5 linked regions of the Cricetulus griseus genome follow. The protein of the gene in region 4 interacts with the protein of the main gene of each other region in a pairwise test. Links are inferred from orthologs where the notes say so. Each region holds a gene or a part of one and is shown on either strand. Other genes may lie near its edges.

Region 1 (4,090 bases), on a different chromosome or scaffold from region 4:
AGGGTGGCCTCTGGGCCTGGTTCTGTTACTTGAGCCTCTTAACTTTGGGCCTAAGATTCCTCATCTCTAAAGAATGAGGCTAGGATCTCATGCCTTACAGGCTCCTTTCAGCTGTCAGGCTCTATAGTTTTAACTGTCTTAGTCAGGTTTGCATTGCTGTAAAGAGACACCATGACCATGGCAACTCTTATAAAAGAAAGCATTTAATTGGGTCTTGCTTATTGTTTCAGAGGGTTTGTCCATTGTCATCATGGTGGGAAGCATGGCTGCAGACAAGTAGATATGGCTTGGGCTTCTGAAACTCCCAAAGCCCACCCCAAGTGACATACTTCCTCCAACAAGGCCACATCCACTCAGATAAGGCTACACCTCCTCTCCAATAGCAGCACTCCTTAATGACCAAACATTCAAACATAAGAGCCTATGGGGGTCATTTCTATTCAAACCGCCACAAATTCTGTCTATAGTGACTCTAAATTGAGCTTATGGTCAAAATGGTGACAAGGACTCCCTGTTGTCATCAAAACTTCAAACTCCCCCAAGTCTTCTGTTTGACTTTTCCAAACTTCCATGTCTCTGATAAATCAGGGCAGTGACGCCTCACTGCTATTAATATCTGTCACTCTGGCCTGCCTGCAACATGAATTCTGTGAAGCAGATCTATCAAGAGTCCCTCTTATCCCCTCCCATTTCAGTAATTTTTCATTTAATGACTTTCATACTACCCTGTCATAAATATTCACTTCTCTTACGGGAACCAAGTCCAGTATCTCTCCTTTGCTCCAAGAGCCATTGCACTGGCCCTTTGTTCCTGTCACCATGAACCCTTAAGAGTGAAGTCTGCCAATTTTTTATTTATTTTTGGTTTGGTGTTTTTGTTGTTGTTTGTTTTCTTTTTGAAAATAGAGTGTTGCCCAGATGCTGGCCTCGAACTCACTATGTAGCCCGTGAGGCCTCCAATGTAGCAATCTGACAGACTGGGATAACAGGCATGTGTCACCGCATCATCCAGTTTATCTTTTAAAAGGGTGAAGAGTAATCGTTTTGTAACAACACATTCTGGGCTTAGAAGAAGCCAGAAACCAGCTTTGGGAAGGCTTGAGCATCTGGCAGGTGGGTCTTTTTGGCAACAGGGCAACCTAGCTTGCACAAACTGATTCTTGGTTTCCATGGGACTGAGATTTGGGACTGCTCAGAGTCCCCCGCGGCGCCAGGGGGCGCTGCGGAATGCTCCCGGAAGCCAGCCTCGCTCTCTGTGGGACAGCACCTGCCTCCGGGCTCTGGGCTTTCCGGAAGCGGAGCTGTGGACCCGCGGCCGCGGCGGCCGGCTGGTTGGCGGCCGGGCTGACTGAGCCGGCGGAGCCCCGCGCCTGGCTCCCTCCCCAAGGTGGAGCACCATGGAGGACTCCAGCAGCTCCGCGGGCAGCGGAGGCTTCCGCCCCGGCGTGGACAGCCTGGACGAGCCGCCCAACAGCCGCATCTTCCTGGTGATCAGCAAGTACACGTCCGAATCGGTGCTGAGGGAGCGCTTCTCGCCCTTTGGAGACATCCAGGACATCTGGGTGGTGCGCGACAAACACACCAAGGAGTCCAAGGGCGTCGCCTTCGTCAAGTTCGCCCGAAGCTCACAGGCCTGCCGGGCTATGGAGGAGATGCACGGACAGTGCCTTGGCCCCAATGACACCAAGCCCATCAAGGTGCTGCACTGGGGTGCCTACGTTAGGGTGTGTGAGGTAGAGATGCTCGGTTTGGGGGGTCTTGGGTGACGGTACCCGGGTTGGGGTAGCTGGGGTAGGGATGCCCGGGTCAGAGTGTCTGGGATAAGGGTGCCCGGGTTGGGGTTGTCTCGGGTAGAGGTGCCAGGGGTTGGGGTGTCAGCGGAGGCTAAGACGGTGTGGGTTAGGGTCTCTTCCCGCACCTTTGCTGCACCCGGGATGATGTGTATCAGGTAGTAAAGGAGTTGGAATCTGCTCCCAGGAGCTCTCCCAGGAGGAGAGGAGGAGAGGAACCCCGCCCATGCATGGGTCTGGAATGGCTAGGAGGAGAGGAACCCCGCCCTGTGGCCAAAGGAGCATCTTCCCCTGGGAACAGATTGGGTAGCCACAGCCAAGGACAGCGCAGCCATCCATGGCTGTCACTTACCATAATTCAGTTGACCCCTACCTCTTCCTGTCTATTGGGAGAACGTTTCTGACCCACCTCTCTCGGACACTTTGATTAACCTTTGCTACTAGATAATTTAGTTTTAGTGTTTTTTTTTTTCTCAAGTATTTTATTTTTACAAAGTTCAAGGGATATTACAGTACCAGCCTGTACTCACAAGATTATCAAAGTAAAATTATTTTGTGACAAGCTATGCTACAAACTAGAGAGGGGCAAACGTTTCAGGGGTTGGGGGAGTTCTGGCGTTGGTTTTACAAGAATTGGCTGGGTTGGAGTCTCTCCCACTTCTGCACCAGGATGCTGTGTATCAGATAGGGAAGGAGTTAAACCGTGTGAAAACAAGGCGAACAAGTAGTGATTCATGTCTTGTGTAGATCCAAGCCTTTATCAAAGATTGTAAACAGTTTAAACTCTAAAATTTAGACATCTATGATCTGATGGCTCCTCTGATCTCATTTTCCCCGTGGCCCCTTTTTTTCCTCTAATGTTTGCATTTTCTTGGAGCCTCTCTTGTGTCTTCCTTTGGATACTTAATTCCTGATGCATCGACTAGATTGACTTAGTCATTTATACTAATACCCCAGTTGTTAGTTGCATTTTGGTTTGTTTTTGTTTTATAGTATCTTCTTTTGGGGGGAACAGGGTCTTCCCATGTAGACTATGCTGGCTTTGAACTTAAGATCTGCTTGCCTGACTTCCTGAGTGCAGGGAGTACAGTATAGGAGTACAGTTAACATTATTCTGAGGGCTTTGTATGTTTCTTAGGTTTTCATTGCTCAGTCCCGATCATCAGGAAGTCACAGAGATGTTGAAGATGAAGAACTCACAAGAATCTTCGTTATGATACCAAAGTCCTATACAGAGGAAGACCTACGGGAGAAATTTAAGGTGTGTGTGTTCTTATCACAACTCCATTTTCAACACTGTACAGTTACTAACAACTCGCAGTAGTAGCGAGTGTCCCCTCTGCCCAGACTTCATCCTAAAGTATAGGCTGAGAAAGTAAAGTACAAAGCCAGGGTGTTTTCATTAAAACCACACAGCTAATAGGTGGTGGTGCCAAGATTTAAACCTGCTGTGCCCCCAGAACCTGCCCTGGGTCTTTAAAAATCTCAAAGCACTTCTTGGTTCTCATTTCTCTTGCCTCTCTGTAGAGTGAGTCGCAGGCCTGAGTCAGGCTGGAGCAGGTAAGCTATGTTGACTAATACTTACCATGGCCTGTGCTATGTTGACATTGTACTCATTCACGGAAAGGTTTTTCCTCCAAGTGGTTTTGTCCTAAAATTTGGCTTTAACTCTTGTAGGTGTATGGTGACATCGAGTATTGCAGCATTATTAAAAATAAAGTCACTGGAGAAAGTAAAGGTCTGGGCTACGTGCGATATTTAAAACCATCACAAGCCGCCCAAGCAATAGAAAACTGTGATAGAAGTAAGAGGTTTTTTTTTAAGTTTTGTTTTATGTGTGTGATTGTTGTGCCTGAATGTACATCTGTGTCTCACATGGATGCAGTGCCTACAGAGGCCAGAGGCCAGAGGACGAGATCAGATCTCCTGGAACTGGAGTTACCGGTGGTTGTGAGCCACTGTGTGGGTACTGGGAAGGGAAACGAGGTCCTCTGGAAGAGCAACACATGTTCCTAACCACAGAGCCATCTTTCTGTTTCCAGAAGTGTTTGTTTTTTATCCTTGCTAACGGGCCTTTTGGAAAAGAATTCTCATTATTTTAAATAAAAGGGTCTATTACTAGATTTTTGCTAAAGTTAAGTAAGTAGTGAGTAAATATATGATATTTGAATTATAAATATATGACTGAAGGATGGAAATGTTTTGGACTTATGAACTAGCCATGTGCTGAAGCCATCTTGGTGACTGAGTTGTCAAGATGAACTGAGTTATCACATAAGCAGGGGGCATACTTGGCTTGT
Region 2 (3,040 bases), on a different chromosome or scaffold from region 4:
GTGTGTCTGTACTACACTTACATTCTCTTGACACCTCTTCCACATGCTACCATCCTGTGCTCTCCATGACCGTCTACTCTGCACCCTTATTATCCCCTTCTATTCCAGCCCACAGTTCCTAGAAGTCACCTCACCCCAACATGTCCTCAGCATCTTCTTCCGCCCTGGCACATGGCATGCATTTGTCAGGTCCGGGGAGGTAACATCTAATGATTCCAGGTTCAAGGATCTACTCCTAGGGAAAAAAGAGTTTGAGAATCTTACTTGGCACTCCTGTCTTCTACTCTAGGTCCTAATGACATTCTTCATGGACTGACTTTGATAATCACATTCAATACAAACTTACAAATACTCATGAATTCACTGTCTATGTGAAAGGAAAAAAAAATAGTTTCAGAGTTCCACGTTCTAGGAAACTCAAATAAACCTCCACCTCTTCCCAAAGCTAGAGGTCACTACTAAGTGGATTCCATTTAGTTTTCAGGCAACCATCTAATAGGGTGAGTTCTGTGAAGAACCTGGGGAGTCCTAGCAGACTCAGATTACCTTTTTTTGGCGTGGGGACTTTATAAAGATGATATAGTCTAACTACATCAGGCAATCCACCAAGTGAGATGCCCATTAGCCTTTTGAGGCCAGAGAACAATTTAGAGAGGACCAGGTTTCTGAGAATAGGGTGCATGGGGAAAACTCCCAATACATGTGTGCCTAACTCAGTAACCATTTCTATGCACACATACTTCCCGTTCCCTTTTCTAACTGAGGAAACCTCTCCTTACCTTTCCAGGACAATTGTCACCTCCTGAGGAGAGAAGAGACACAGAGTCAATTCTGGAGTTTCTGATTGACAGAATTCCCAGGGTCATGTGACATCACCCATGTTTCCTCTGGGCCCTGCTCTGCAGCCTTTCCTTGGGCCACAGACAATTCTGACTAGTTCTTAGCAGAAAGGACTCATGGCTGCTCTTAGAATATCTAGGAAGCTAACATGGATATGGCCTGTAGCTAGGATATGACCAGGGCTTTACAGACTGATTGAGAAAACAAATTAGAAGGGCTAGGTTCTTGGAGGAGGGGGGTTTACCATGGAGACAGTAGAAGAGGAAAATAAATAACACAACCTGACTGAAGCCCAGAGGCAGTTGCAGGAAGGATATCCTTCCTGCTGAGGTAGGATATCCAGAAAGGCTCCTTGCCATTTATGGGATTGAATAGTTTGGGGAGAAAGGGTTAGTTGGTTGAAAGCTTTGTCCTGTGCTGTGGTTAATCCTCTGCCTTATTTAGAGTGAGCTTAAGTGAGAATATTCCTTCCCATAATGTTGGAACTGGCAACCTTCTAGGCTCAGTCAAAAGGCACTAGGGAGCCAGTTCAGGGATAGGAAAGGGAAAAGCAAGGGAAAGCCTTCCAAGCCAAACCAATATAATCAGCTTTTCTGAACAAACACTCAAGGAAATGTTTATCTGAGAGACAGGGACGGAGGTGTGAGAAAAGAAGCACAGAGATCATCTAGACCATAGTCTTCCAACGTGGGGTGGGGCTAACATATCATGGGTGGATGCAAGATGGCTTTAGAATACACACGGATTTTAAAAATAATGATGTACGTGTTTCATCTTATTTTTTTGTCTCTTACTACTTAGATAAACTGACGTCATTTAGCTTGACTCTCTCACTAAGTCTCTTAATGTCTCTGCTCCTTAGTTTTCTCACCCATGGACTTGGATCACAGTAGCACTTACCTGAACCATGGTAAGTCATCTGTGTGCTGTTTAGGAATCTGCAGTTATCATTACGGGAAAAAATTAGAAAAAACAGTAGCACCAATATGTAATTTCTTAGTTATCATGCCTTGGCAAAAATTATTTTAAAGCTAAATTTATTTTGGGGAAAGAGTGAGACTATTTGCAGAAGCAGAACAAATTAAAAATCATGTAGGGAGCTCTCAGGAATCCAGGAAGTATTAAAATCCAACTACGACTAATGTTAGGCACACTTTCCTGCATCCACTCCCCTTATGGCTTCATCAGTGGAGACACTGACTATAGGAAAGAAAAACAGTCCCATAACCTATCACTATGGAGAGAAATGACACAACTCAGTTTTGGAAATTATACTTTCAAAAACATTCTTATGGCTACTTGTCTAAGCACCAGAATGGATGTTCTCATTTAATTCCTTAAAAAAGAAAACCACTTGAGATATGTAAATATTTATATATAATATATATATATATATATATATATATATATATATCCATATATCCTGGTGACGTGTGCTAAGTGTCATGCTCCAGCTCCCACACCTGGCACTACCGGGGATGTCCATCTATTGGCTACTACTTGGAGCATGTTCTCTTGTATCTATACCCTGTTGTTCTGCAATGGAAGCCACTCCTGGGTCCACATTTCTGTTTATTTAAGAATGTCCCAAAGATTAAGGCAGCACTTGCATTAGGAGCCATTCCAGAGAGTTCTGGTTTTCTCCCAGTTACTCCTGGTGCCTGTGCATGGGTCTCACCTGCAGTAGCTCCAGCTGGGAGCCCCGGCTCCTCCTCTCCAGCTCTGCGATCAACTCCTGCAGGGCCTGGTTCTTCTCAGCTAGCTCAGCCTCCTTCTCCCCCAGGAATTTCAGGTGCTCCCTCTCATCCTTCTCCAGTTTCTGTAGCTGCCTCTGCTCTTCCTTGGCCAGCAAGCTATTCTGATGTACAAACTCCGAGTGAATCCTCGACTTTTGTATGTCCACGTTTCTCTGAGGTGGCAAGGGCAAGACAGGAGTTTTGCATTTTTAGTTTTAATAAAAATTTCCTAGGCTTTGGTGGCAGAGGCGTTTCTGTTCCCTGGTCACTCATCCCTCTGTTTATGTCTGGGAATAGGTGCGCGCACACACCCACAACAATGTGCGCTCTCCAGTGTGCACACGGCTGGCCTCTAGCAAACAGCATTGTTTAAGTGGCACACAGCAACTTCTGGCACCAACATCTTCTCAACTTTTCTTCCAAAACCCAGTAATGCCTATGTGAGTCCCTGTGTTCTCCTTCTA
Region 3 (4,208 bases), on a different chromosome or scaffold from region 4:
ATCACTAGTAGGTGAGAGATGCGTTTTGGTTTTTGTTGTTTAATTATTTTATTTTTAATTATGTGCCTGCAGGTGACCATGTGCACTTGAGTGCAGATGCTCTGAGGCCAAAGGCATCCCATCACCTTTGAGTTGGAGCTTGGGGCAGTTGTGAGCTGCCCGGCACGGGTGTGCACAGGTAATAGGAATGGAACTCGGCTCCCCTACAAGAGCAGCACATGCTCTTAACCACTGAACCATCTCTCCAGTTCCCTGAGAAACATATTCTTGATTCTCCAGCAAAACTTACCTGTCAGTCCTCAAACCTTGACCCTGTCCTACTTCAGTCAAATGGTGCAAAACAGGGAGAGTCCTGCAAAACAGAAGCACAGCTTCATCCCTGCAGTCCCTGAACCTCAAGAAGATAAAATTCCCACGGGTCATGTTACAGAAAGCTGTCAATCAAACTGGAGGCAGGACTCTGCGCTGCTTATTCCAACCCAAGATACGATGCTTGATCTGTAACCAAGTTTTGCTCAGGACCAAAGCCATTCTTCTGGGGGGGGGGGAAGGTTGGGGAAAGAGGGAGACTGATTTATAGTTGAAGAATAGAAACTAGATTATTTAACCAATATTTGGAATCGAGGTCAAATATGTTCAACCTGAGAGTCCCAGGGGAAGTGAGAGCTGGTCAGAGTTTGCTCTCCAAGATCAAATTCCAAGCCAATTCAGTCTCTTCCTCCACCCAGATCCTATTAAAGATTTTTGGAATTTTCATTTATTGACAGTCAGGGTGACTATAGGCAGCACCTCGATTCCCTACCCCTGCCACTAACAGGAACTGTGAGCAGTCCAGGAGAGTGGACAAGCAGGCAGCAGGCCGTGACTGAAAAGTCATGATTCCTCCTGAGCTCGGGGGACAGGGGCACCGAGCCATGTAGGAGAACCACAGCCAGGACACTGCACTTTCTCCATCCTTCAGAAAGATGGGAGGACCCTTTGCTTTCATAATAAACCTAACCTCCAAACCACAGCAATAAGAGAGAAGCTGTTTTCTACACTTTAAAATGGCTCACAATTGTGTTTCTTCCTAGCTGGTGGATGCTGCACCTCCTGATGCTCTGCAGCACAGGTTCTCCAGCAGTCAGGACAGCTAGCTCTCCTCCCTATACATGGAGCTCACTGGTTTGAACAGACAAGTCAGTACATGTCTGTGTTCCCTGACCTCTACATCATGCTTGTCCAGGCATGTCCAGGAGCTGAACATTGTAATATCTAATTCTCTCCCACCACTACTGACCTCCCGGGAAAAAGACTCAAAAGACAAGCTTGTTTTATCATATGATTCAGTGTTCCCTTTAAACCTCCGGAGTCAAACTTGAGTTTCTCGTGGCTATCCTTGAACTCAGGGTTAATTTTTCTTTCCACTCCTCACAGACTGAAGTGCAGGTACAGGAAGACGCCTATATTCCCAATGTGAGGTCTACAGCTTATTGCTAGACCAGTCTTAAAGCAGCATGTGCAGAAAACGCGTTTTTCCTATTCTTATTTGACTTGTATTATAACCACAGAACTTAAACTTACTCTTATGTGTAAGAAAAAGTGGGGTGTGATGGCACATGCCTTTAATCCCAGCACAGGTGAACAAGTAGGCAGTTTTCCATGAATTCAAGATTAGTGTGGTCTACACAGTGAGTTCTGGGCTAGCCGGGGATACACTGAGAGACCCTGTCATGAAGGGAAAGGGAAAAAAAAGTAAAAGAGAAAGAGAATTTAAGACAGTGAGAACACACACACACACACACACACACACACCGAGAAAAGGGCCTCAGCGTGTGCCTTATCAATCTTCTGTTTAATCAAGGTCAAACTGAAGTTTCAGTTTCATGGATATCTGCCAGTAACAAAATGGGCAAGGATGTAGCCAGAAAAATGTAACCACCCTACACCAAAACCCATACCGCCCGGCACCTAAACCCCTTTTAAGGTGTTAGGAAAAGCAAGGAACGCTCGTTCTCATTCAAAACGCTGGGCACAAAGCTCCTACAGTTCATTTGGGTACCTCCTGAGGACACATCTCGGAGCAAAACCCCCAGTTCCCAAGCACCCACCACTTCCCGAGGCTCTCTCCTGCCCATTAGCTAGTTCTGGCTTCCAATATTTGATCAGGAAATTTTTTCAGACAAAAAAAAAAAAAAAAAAAACTGACCTCACTCTACTTTTTAAATGCCGCTCCGCACGTTTAGGGATTAAGCAACTAAACACTCCCAGGGTTTTTCTTTCTCTAGTTTATTCATTTAAAATAGCTTGAGGCAAGTTGGCTCAGTAAGGTGGCTTGCAGCCTCACACGGTGGAACTGAATCTCACAAGTTGTATGATCTCCACACGCATGCCGTGACAGCACCCCATCCAAAATAAATGTAACTTTAAGACCGTTTTCACATCGGGACGCTCCTGGATCTCTTAGGACGCAGCCTACGCTGCAGTTTTCAAAGGTAAGCGTCGAGTGTGGGTGTCCTGGCTGCGCCTCTTTCAAGGATAGCGCAGGTCAGCGGGCGCAGGTGCGGCTGCTGTCCCCCAACCCTGAGCGCGAGAGCACGCCGGTGGCCCCACATCACACACATAATCGCACATCCACCCTCGCTCGGACCCACAGCCTGAGGAGCTTCTCCCACCGCCACACCACGCCGATCCCCGGGACAACACTTCCCAGCCCCTTCCACCGCTCACCCGCGCCAGCCGCCCCAAGTATCGCGGTATCTAGGCGCCCTTACCCTCCGAGTCTAAAGGGCACGCGAGAGAGCTACGTGAACGCATGGCCTTCTGGGAGCCGTAGTCTACTCTGCCTTCTGGGAGTTGTAGTCACCGGAGCTCGCTCCAGGACCTACATAGTTGTGTGATTTGCCAATTACCCCGCGCACCTGTTCAGAACTCTGGCACTTAATTCTATTTACTGCGCCTGTTCTAAAAGGCAGTTCGGCTCTTGAGACAAACAGGAGTACAGAAAATTAGAGGCTAAGAATGAGGAAGCTGCAGGACCTAAGCCACAATCCTAAGCAGGAAAGCCTTGTCATTGAAGGGGTCACTTGGAAAAAAAATTTTTTTCTTTTTAACCCTGGCTGGTCTGGAACTCAGACATCTACCTGCCTCTGCCATAATGGGATTAAAGGAGCGCGCTACGGCACCCACGGTTACTTGAAAGGTATCTTGAGGAGTGACCAGCACAGAGGATCTAGACAGCATTCCTAGTGAGTACACTTGGCAAAGACTCGGCATATTGGAATAGTTTTCATCACGCTGGAGCAACCACAGGTCTCAAGAACTTGTGTGCATGGAGGCTGCTGAATTAGCTTCAGGTGATCCCCCAGGGGAGCTGAGGAAGGGCCTGTGTTCCAGTCCTACCATTGCCAGCAGAGCACTTTATTTCTTCTTCTTAACTGGTAGTTGTGGCATGTACTTCATGGCCTACTCAAGGCTGCTTTAGGGAAATGATCACAGAATTCCAGGCCACAGATCCACTCAACCCAGCCCTACACCCCTGCCTCACATCCCATATCAAGACTTCATTAAGACCCACATGAAGACAAGCAACACAGAATAGACAGGGTCAAATGATCCCTTTTATTATGGTTCATCCAGTTACCACAGATAGACACATTGGCTCAGGCAGGTCAACTGCCAGCTAGGGAATAATGTGTGTCTCTCAGAAACAAGGGGCAGTGGGCACCAGGAGAATGCAAAAGCAGGTCACTGGCTGGCAACAGACAGGAGGATCCCCAGAACCAACTGGGCCCTCCTCCCACCCCCAAATTAAACCATCTGTGCCCAGCCCCCTTTCTCATCCTGGTTCCCTCCTCATGAAAGTGCATAGTTGCCTGGAGATGCAGCATTCCAGGGCCTGAGCAGCTGGGCCAGACACTGGTAACAGGCTTTCCCAAGGGCAGCGCCAGGCATGGCCAATAGGTCTGAGCCAGGAAAGAGGAAAGGGCAGTAGGACAGGAAATTGGAGGTAACATCCAACAGATCGTGGATGCTAGGCTGGCAGCTGGATCACAGCCCTCGCGGAACTTCCAGAGGACCAAGAGAAGGGAAAAAGAAGTCTGGGGTCAGGAGAAGGGAAGAAGAGGGAGGGCGTAGCCCTGGGTCTCTGTAGGGTACCAGGGCATGTGACAACTGCTCTCCAGAGGGAAAACAGTAGGGGAGAGAATCAACTAAGCCTAAGGGGTCAT
Region 4 (4,058 bases):
TTGTTATATCATAAACAAACTATCACTACACTGAAACACCCAATCAACTACCTTGTAGGGGAAAAAAGGGTTAGCTCATTGAACATTCCTTTCAAAAGCCCTCCACCATAGCAGTAGGGTGGAGTAATTATCTCCCACAGATCCCTGGCTGTCAACTCCTGTTTTATCCTTTTCTTAAGACAGGGTTTCTCTGTGTAACAGCTCCAGCTGTCCTGGAACTCACTCTGTAGACCAGGCTGGCCTCGAACTCACAGAGATCCACCTGCCTCTGCCTCCAGAGGGTTGGGATTACAGACGTGCACTATCACCGCCCAGCTTCTGTTTTATCTTTTTCTATGAGCCGGCACATGCCAGTCCGATCTCTTATATGTAGGAGGTAGAGACAAAAGAGGCTCAAGTATGACCTATGACATGGGCTACACAGTGAGACCTGTCTCAACCCATCATCCTTACCCCCAAAACTTGCATTCAGAAATTTCAATCAACAAATAAACATAAAAAATGAAAATAAACATAAATAAGCATGCAAGGCCTTATCTCAGATGACAAGGACACCCACTGGCCTGTCTGAGGTAACTTGGTGAGTCAGAGAAAGGACCACAAAAGAAACAAAGAGACTGTGAGATGTGTCTAGAAAACCTCCAAATGTTAACCAGACACACTAGTTTCTTCTGGGATGCTTTGTTCTACGGGGTCTGTTGGTTTTTTTGGTTGAACCAGTTCTAAAGATCTGGAAATGAAAAGCAGGCTAAAATGCAGGTGTTTATCTGAAACACACTCCTACAGTACTGAGACAACACACCTCCTGCCCACCCCATACACACTTGGGTCCCACTATGGTGGCACTGATAACATTTTGCCCAGCCCTTCCCACAGTTTTGTTAAAACAAAATGTTACTTCACACTGGAGAAGACTATGAGCTTTTCAGGCATCGAGATACAAGACAGAGGCACAATGCAGCACTCATCCTGGTCTGCTCTGCAGACTATTTGTAAATCGGTCTCCTACCACACTGCACGCTTCTTTTTTATTTATTTATTTTTATTACATATGTAGGGTTCTGCCTACATATACATTTGCATGCTAGCAGAGGGCACCAGATCTCATAGATGGTTGTGAGCCACCATGTGGTTGCTGGGAATTGAACTCAGGACCTCTGGAAGAGGAATCAGTGCTCTCAACCTCTGAGCCATCTCTCCAGCCCCACTGCATGCTTCTTCTTCCTTTTTTTTTTTTGGTTTTTCCAGACAGGGTTTCTCTGTGTAGCTTTGGAGCCTATCCTGGCACTCACTCTGGAGACCAGGCTGGCCTCGAACTCACAGAGATCCGCCTGCCTCTGCCTCTGCCTCCCAAGTGCTGGCATTAAAGGCGTGCGTCACCACACCCAGCTCACTGCATGCTTCTTAAGGGTAGGTACTGGGTCTCAAAAGTTTTCATAATGGGTGTATGAATGAGAAGCATTGAACAAGGCTGTGAGCAACAGTGGGCACTGATGGGCGATGTAAGACCCCCTGTCTCTCACTGCCCCCAGTACTCACTGTGCATGAAAATCCACAACAACTGGTGTTTCACTGTTGACAACTCTGTCTTGAAAGTCAGGTCCATCCTGGACATTAAAGGTTGTTGAGCAGACTCTGGTTGTGTATAATGTTCGGGCTGGGCCGAATGTTCCTGTCAGACCACCAGGATTGTACTGTGGTGTCTGCAGGGCTCTAGAGGTGAGGGAAGTCCACCCACTCTGAGGGGGCTTCCTGGGGATGGCTGAGGTCAGGAACCTCCTCAAGAGAAGCCGCTGAGCCATCTGTGAGGGAAAGAAGCAGGAAGAGCTGGGCTACACAACAGAAAGTCAACATATCAGGAAAACAAAGTATTTCAAAGTACTGACGTGTTGGCAACATGCAGAGTGAGAAGCAAAATGCATGGAAATACTGTAATATAATTTTTGAGGGCCAGGACTTGTCATTCCTGCCCTCATTTGGGAGGCTGAGGCAGGAGAATATAAATCAAGGTCAGTTGGGTTATATAGTAAAACCCTGTCTCTAAAACCTCCACACCCCAACCACAATATATCTAGAGGTGAGTGAGGAATGAGGATCACAGAATAGATGTGTTAGAAGACAGAAACTAGGCTGACAGCCAAAAAAAGAAACCAAGGCTTAGGCGGAATTATAAAAGGTTGATGGAAGGAGGAACAAAGCTTAAGTGTGTTTCATGACTGGTTCTCCCAGATCAATTCTGAAGAAACTGTTTTAACACCGTTCACATTCAGGACGACCCAGGCCTCAGGTAGGTTAAGTGACATGCCCAAAGTAGCCCAGTTTTAAAAGGACAGTTAATTGGAACCCAAGGCATCTGTAGAATCTTTACTCTATCGATCGCTCTTTTAAAATGCGTTTCCATGGGAAATTAAGGAGGGAAAAGGGATAAGCAAAGAAGAATCCCAACTACGGAAGGAGGAACTAAGAAGCATGGGAACCCAGGCATGGGGTACCACAGAGAAGGGGGGATGTGTGTACGGAGGGAAACGAGAGACCGGGAGCACAGGTCGTGCGGCTGCCGAGACCAGATCCTCCCTCTCGGGTCTTCCCTCCGCTTGTGGCCGGCTTGCACAGCAGCGCGCCACCCGCGCCGCCCAGCCCACCCCGCGGGGCTCCTACCTCCCGGCAGCTAGAGCGGAGGGACGTACAGCCCAGCCGGCCTGCCCGTCAAGGGCACTCTGTTGTCACTTCCTCAGGGGCGGGACTAGCGTCATTTCCGGGAAAGACTACCCGGACGGCGTATCTTCGCAACTTGGGGGCGGTTCAGTATTTTCCACCAATGAGGATAACGGAAAAAGGTTCGGGGGCGGGTGATGGGGGGAGAACGGAAGGAATGGGTTCCTGGAGGAAGGACCGGAAGAGGGGTGGGACCAGTGAGAGAGAGGGAGAGCAGTTGGAGGGAGGGCGGAGAGGAAGGAGTGGCTTTGGAACAAATCTCTGGGGCGTTGAACCCTGTTGGCACCGCCCATCCCTGAATCTTGTGGTTCGGGAAAGGGTTGGCATGTTGTGTTCAACTTAATACCGGGGAAGCACGCTCTGTTCCGCAGAAACTTAGTGTTTAAAGGAAGGTTGTCCCGGGCTGGGGTTGTGGCTCAATTGGTAGAGCGCTTGCCTCGCACGCATGAAGCCTGGGTTCGATTCTCAGTATCACGTAAACTGGGTGGAGGGTTCAGGACTTCAAAGTCATCCTTGACTACATAGGGAATACTTGAGACATACCCCCGACACACACACACACACACACACACATCCCTACGTGGGCATCAAGGGATTGTTTTGTTGTCCTGGCTTTGTCTGCCCAACGTCATTGTCCCTAAGGGCTGGTGGTGCTTCTAAACCGTCAACCTTCTTTTTGGAATTATTGGGGAAGTGGGCTTGCCTTTGAGACCCAAGGTGAAGTGTCGTCTGTGAAGCTTGGGCCTGGGGCTTTTCTCCATTTCCACTGGCTTGAGTGACTGAGGTCTAAGTACCCTATTCCTACATACTACGGTTCTGGGAACACATTGCTGCTCATATCCTCTTCCACACCTTTGCTCATGTTGAACTTTTGTCTCTCAGTACTTAGAGCACCTGCCCATCATGTCTTCTGAATAGTTTTGCTTTCTTCTGTCTAGTGCTTGCTTTGTAACCCTTCATAGCACCTTACAGTGTCTATGCTTTCTCTAGTCTATGCTTTCTCAGAGTAGGAACTTGTGCTTATAATAAACTTATAGTCTTATGTCTGTCTCAATATTTCTCTTTTCTTCTTTTTAAACAAAAGAATAACAGTTGTTACTCATCTGCATATACTTAGCACCAACCTGGGACAGTACCCGGCCCAGAGAGGCCAGTGGATGTTTACTGTTTAGTAGATTCTTACTAAATTGAGGATCTTTGCACATTTCAGCAAATGGTGTCTGTCAAACCGTTATAAGGTGTGTCCAATAAGGTGTGTCCAAGTAGAAGCAGATAAATTGGCAGGACTCTATCTGCCACATCATTTCAACCCACTCTTTCATTAGTTAGTGGTTTGCTGAGGT
Region 5 (4,021 bases), on a different chromosome or scaffold from region 4:
CTGATGCTCTCTTCTGACTTCCCTGGCTACCAAATGAAAACACATGGCCCATTACATTCATGCAGGCAAAATATTCATACACAAAGGATACAAATAAAATATTTTTGAAAATTCTGTCACATTACAGTGTTTCAGGGCAAGAAAGATAATATAAATTCCTAAAATACTTTATTTTCAAGCATACCTACACACTAATTAAAATATCAATAAGCAGCATTTTTGTTAAACTAGATGAATCCCATCTCTTAGATTAGCAGTATGAAACCACCTGCCTATCTTTCTGGTTAAAAGCACTGTGATAAAAGCGATCACAAGGAGTTTTGTGAAATCTTTGGCTGCTGGGATGGTTTGTTAGAGACAGACAACTGTTTTTATGTGACACCGGGTAATAAAATACCACTGCTTGTGACCATATTGCCCTCAAATGAACTTCATTTGAGGGGAAAACTCATAATTAAAAGCCCTATGAAGACAAACCCATCACAGTACCTTGGCAGCTTTGTTAACCTTGTCTTCATTTTCTCTCTTATATACAAACACCGAGGCGCATTTCCCATCTTGCAGTATGGCGGGGTAAACAGCAAGTCCAGAGGGCAAGGTGAATGGTGGTTCTCTCAGTGTATAGCTCTTTAAAGCACTGTTCTCTGATCCCATCCCTCCTGTAGTGAGGCCGTACTGCAGCTCCTCCTCAAGTCAAACAGATCTGCAACACAGCAGAGACAAATGAGAACATCAAGCAAATAGAAGCCAGGTGGCTATCCAGCTTACCCCAAAGTGCCCACTGGGACTTATTCATCATTCCTGCAGTGCCAACAATTGCATTCAATAATACAGTCAACGAACAGCAAGTTATCAGGAATCCTTGTTAATAAACAACTAACAACTCCAGAGAAATTGTGTGTTACCAAATAGCCACATGGACTTCCTTCCAAACCTAATCACACATAAATTTTATAAAGGCTTGTAAAACTTTTCAGTTAAACATAAGTAGTCTTAGACAGTGCTGCTGGAGGTGACAGCAGTGGTGGCACATGCCTTTAATCTCAACACTTGGGAGGCAGAGTCAGGTGGATCTCTGAGTTCAAGGTTAGCCTGATTTACAAAGTGAGTTCTAGGACAGTTAGGGTTCCACACAGAATCCCTGTTTTGAACCCCCAGTCCCCCAAAAGTAGTCTTTGTATAAATACAAACCTAATAATCATGACACATGTCTTAGATTTCCCTCCCACTTGAAGAGCTACAGAATAATTTGTTATTATGTAATGATGCCTAGAATACAAGCCTATCACAGAATTTAAAATGTGTACAGATGCACACACATTACTGTATGAGGAACACAAAATGCACTATGGCAAAAAGCTACAGAAATCTAAGAATGTCTGTAGGTGACAACAAACTTTGCTCTTTAGCAAATGCACTGAGCTTTGACATACCTAGCAATTTATCTTTCTTAGGCTTGGGGATTATTGAAGAGAGGGTTGTAAAAACCAGAGGAGCAGGAAGTTTGCTGTGAGATTATATCTCCTAGAAAGTCAAAGAAGGATACCATCCAGTTTCATTAGCATGGCTGCCTAAATAAGACAATGAGGACACTAATGGACATGCTCACACGAAAGCTCACATGAAAGCTCACACAACCCTCCCTAGCCAAAGAACCACAGGCAGCTGGGGAATGCTGAGAACCAGCTAAGTGTTCTTCCAAAGGGAAGAGTTCCCAATTGGGTATCCAATACCAAGTGGCTCGCCCGAGATCAGAGAGATGCAGGTAACATTGTACAGACTGAGCAGATTGTAGTTCTGTATTTAGGAATACACACTCATAACAGAAAAAGACACCAGGAATTTGACACAACAATGGGGAGGTGGATTGATTGGAGGGAGGAAAGGGAAAGAGGGGAAGTATGTCCCTGTTATGTATTCTCCCAACAATTAGTAGAGATTCTCTTGGCTCCATATCCCTTAGCTTCAAAGTGCCAAAGCTTTGGGCTTGCCCCGAGAGTGCGAAGGATATGCCTTACTCGTGGCACTTAGCTACTGGGTGGTAAACCTCAGTAGCAGCCCTGTGCTTTGATGTGTTTCAGCCTTGCATGGTGTTGGTCAAGAACTCACCCCCACAGTGCTGGCTATCATGTAGTCGGGACTAAAAGTACTTCGTCTGACCTCAGCTCAGGATACACTCCAGCCCCTCAAGCCAGCGGCAACCGTGATCCCCAAATTCAGCAAAAACCACTTTGGGAGACACGTGTATGTTATCCTTACTCTACGCATGAGGCCCCGGGGGTTTGGCGCTGCCTGGGACCCTTGCATCGCGCGACCTTCCCGCTGGATTCCCGGCCGGGCCTCTTCGCTGTCCCCCGGCCTCGGCCGCGACGGCAGGGGTCACCCGAGAAGCCAGAGAGAGGGGACCCCGAACCAGCCGGAGCAGCCAGCGCTCAACGAACCGGCCGCGCCAGCGCTCCCCGCGAGCGGCGACCCCGCTCCCACCCTGCGCAGCCGCCCGGGCCAGGCCGCTCGGCCCCCGGTTACCTGCGGGCGGCGGGAGGAGGCTGGCGGCTCTGCTCCCTCTTGGCCCGCGGCCGGCTCGGACACTCAGACCTAGGCCCCTGCACCCTATGCCTCCCGAGGACCCGGCTCAGACCGCACCACAAGGGCCCGGAAACGGGTCAACACACCGGCCTTCAGTTCCTCCTACGCCACCACCGAGGCGCGCGAACCCGGAACCGAGCTAGAGCGGCCGCACAGGTGATGCTCAGGCCGGTGTCATCTGCAGGTGTGGGCGCCAGGGAAGCCTGCGTCTCACGCCGGCCCCCAGCCGCCGGCTCCCGCTGCAGAGAAACCCGTCGGCGTGTGCTTTCAGCTCGATTGCACAGGTGTCCTAGTTTTAATGTTTGGGTTTTTAACCGGCCGGTTTTGACTTCATTTCCGCCCGAATCCAAAATGGACGCCTCTGGCTTCAGACAAGTACGGTAGTAAAGGGGCGGGACAAAAGGAGGAGTTTGGTGCTGAGACAGAACTTTTCCGGTAGTGACTCTCCGCTTCCTGGACACGTGATTGGCCGAGCTACCTGGGAAGATTTTTTTTTTTTTTTTTTTTTTTTTTGAACCACTGGTGAAGTTGTCAGAAATCATGGTGATTCTGGCATTTTTAGATTTGAGACTTCAGCCTGGAGTCAATTCATTCATTCTTTGATCATTGATCCAAGTCCAATTGTGGATGGGATCTTGGATAACCTGTTTCCCGTTCTCCTAAACACGATGGCCATCTACACTTCCAAAATTAACAAGAAAATTTCCTGCTGAATGAATGAGAGAACTGGAAGACACACTACTTTCCTGTTGTGCGATTATTTTACTCTTGGCTTTTAGGGGGCCTGCCACCCAGCACCCAAAATAATACATGGAGTCTTATTCTTATGAATGTCTGGCCTTATCTTGGCTTGTTTCCAGCCAGCTTTTCTTAACGTAAATTACTCTTCTTACCTTTTGCCTCTAGGCTTTTTTTGTTTTCTTACGTCTGTTAATCTTCCCCTTACTGTGTGGATTGCTGTGTAGCTGGATGGCTGGCCCCTGCGGCCCTCCTCTCCTCTCTTGCTGCTCCTCTTCTTTCCTATTTCTCCTTTTATTTATACTCTTTATCTGCCTGCTATCCTTGTTTGTGTCTTGCTATTGGCTGGTTGTTGAGCTCTTTATTAGACCATCAGGTGTTTTAGATAGGCAAAGAATCACAGCTTTACGGAGTTAACAAATGCAGCATAAACAAAAGTTACACACCTTAAACTAATATCCTTCCCACTACTTATCTACTCACTTACCTATCTGTGATTTCACTCAGGTCTCTAAATAAATCAACTCTTAAATCCCTGGATTAAGTCCCGTTATTTTGAAGCCACAGGTAAACTTTACATTCCCCCCTAATAAGGATTCTGATCATTCTCTCCAGTGGACATTTAACTCTGTAGCAAAAGGGGACACACAGATTTGACTTTCCTAACTGGATGTAGGTGATAAAAGTTTTGTTAGTG

The links.
Region 1: the proteins of Txn2 (region 4) and Rbm45 interact in binary tests that used the Homo sapiens proteins (3 or more experiments, as listed by UniProt). The two-hybrid records come from large-scale screens. The link is inferred for Cricetulus griseus from reciprocal best matches to the Homo sapiens genes TXN2 and RBM45.
Region 2: the proteins of Txn2 (region 4) and Trim21 interact in binary tests that used the Homo sapiens proteins (3 or more experiments, as listed by UniProt). The two-hybrid records come from large-scale screens. The link is inferred for Cricetulus griseus from reciprocal best matches to the Homo sapiens genes TXN2 and TRIM21.
Region 3: the proteins of Txn2 (region 4) and Ppcdc interact in binary tests that used the Homo sapiens proteins (3 or more experiments, as listed by UniProt). The two-hybrid records come from large-scale screens. The link is inferred for Cricetulus griseus from reciprocal best matches to the Homo sapiens genes TXN2 and PPCDC.
Region 5: the proteins of Txn2 (region 4) and Scyl3 interact in binary tests that used the Homo sapiens proteins (3 or more experiments, as listed by UniProt). The two-hybrid records come from large-scale screens. The link is inferred for Cricetulus griseus from reciprocal best matches to the Homo sapiens genes TXN2 and SCYL3.

The regions. Positions count from the first base shown.
Region 1 is NC_048599.1:98,661,887-98,665,976, reverse strand, and holds the start of Rbm45 (RNA-binding protein 45), read left to right. Parts: upstream 1-1,281; 5' UTR 1,282-1,397; coding exon 1,398-1,733; intron 1,734-2,928; coding exon 2,929-3,051; intron 3,052-3,467; coding exon 3,468-3,594; intron 3,595-4,090. UniProt on the Homo sapiens protein: RNA-binding protein with binding specificity for poly(C). May play an important role in neural development.
Region 2 is NC_048596.1:96,824,370-96,827,409, reverse strand, and holds part of Trim21 (E3 ubiquitin-protein ligase TRIM21), read right to left. Parts: intron 2,750-3,040; coding exon 2,519-2,749; intron 803-2,518; coding exon 780-802; intron 236-779; coding exon 135-235; intron 1-134. UniProt on the Homo sapiens protein: E3 ubiquitin-protein ligase whose activity is dependent on E2 enzymes, UBE2D1, UBE2D2, UBE2E1 and UBE2E2.
Region 3 is NC_048597.1:169,065,113-169,069,320, forward strand, and holds the start of Ppcdc (phosphopantothenoylcysteine decarboxylase), read right to left. Parts: upstream 2,806-4,208; 5' UTR 2,710-2,805; intron 2,704-2,709; exon of another isoform or gene 2,189-2,703; intron 1,708-2,188; exon of another isoform or gene 1,564-1,707; intron 353-1,563; exon of another isoform or gene 290-352; intron 1-289. UniProt on the Homo sapiens protein: Catalyzes the decarboxylation of the cysteine moiety of 4-phosphopantothenoylcysteine to form 4'-phosphopantotheine and this reaction forms part of the biosynthesis of coenzyme A.
Region 4 is NC_048595.1:375,026,081-375,030,138, forward strand, and holds the start of Txn2 (thioredoxin, mitochondrial), read right to left. Parts: upstream 2,808-4,058; 5' UTR 2,659-2,807; intron 1,803-2,658; coding exon 1,540-1,802; intron 1-1,539.
Region 5 is NC_048598.1:28,407,949-28,411,969, forward strand, and holds the start of Scyl3 (protein-associating with the carboxyl-terminal domain of ezrin), read right to left. Parts: upstream 2,810-4,021; 5' UTR 2,673-2,809; intron 2,667-2,672; exon of another isoform or gene 2,527-2,666; intron 2,398-2,526; exon of another isoform or gene 2,260-2,397; intron 2,254-2,259; exon of another isoform or gene 2,110-2,253; intron 704-2,109; 5' UTR 655-703; coding exon 490-654; intron 1-489. UniProt on the Homo sapiens protein: May play a role in regulating cell adhesion/migration complexes in migrating cells.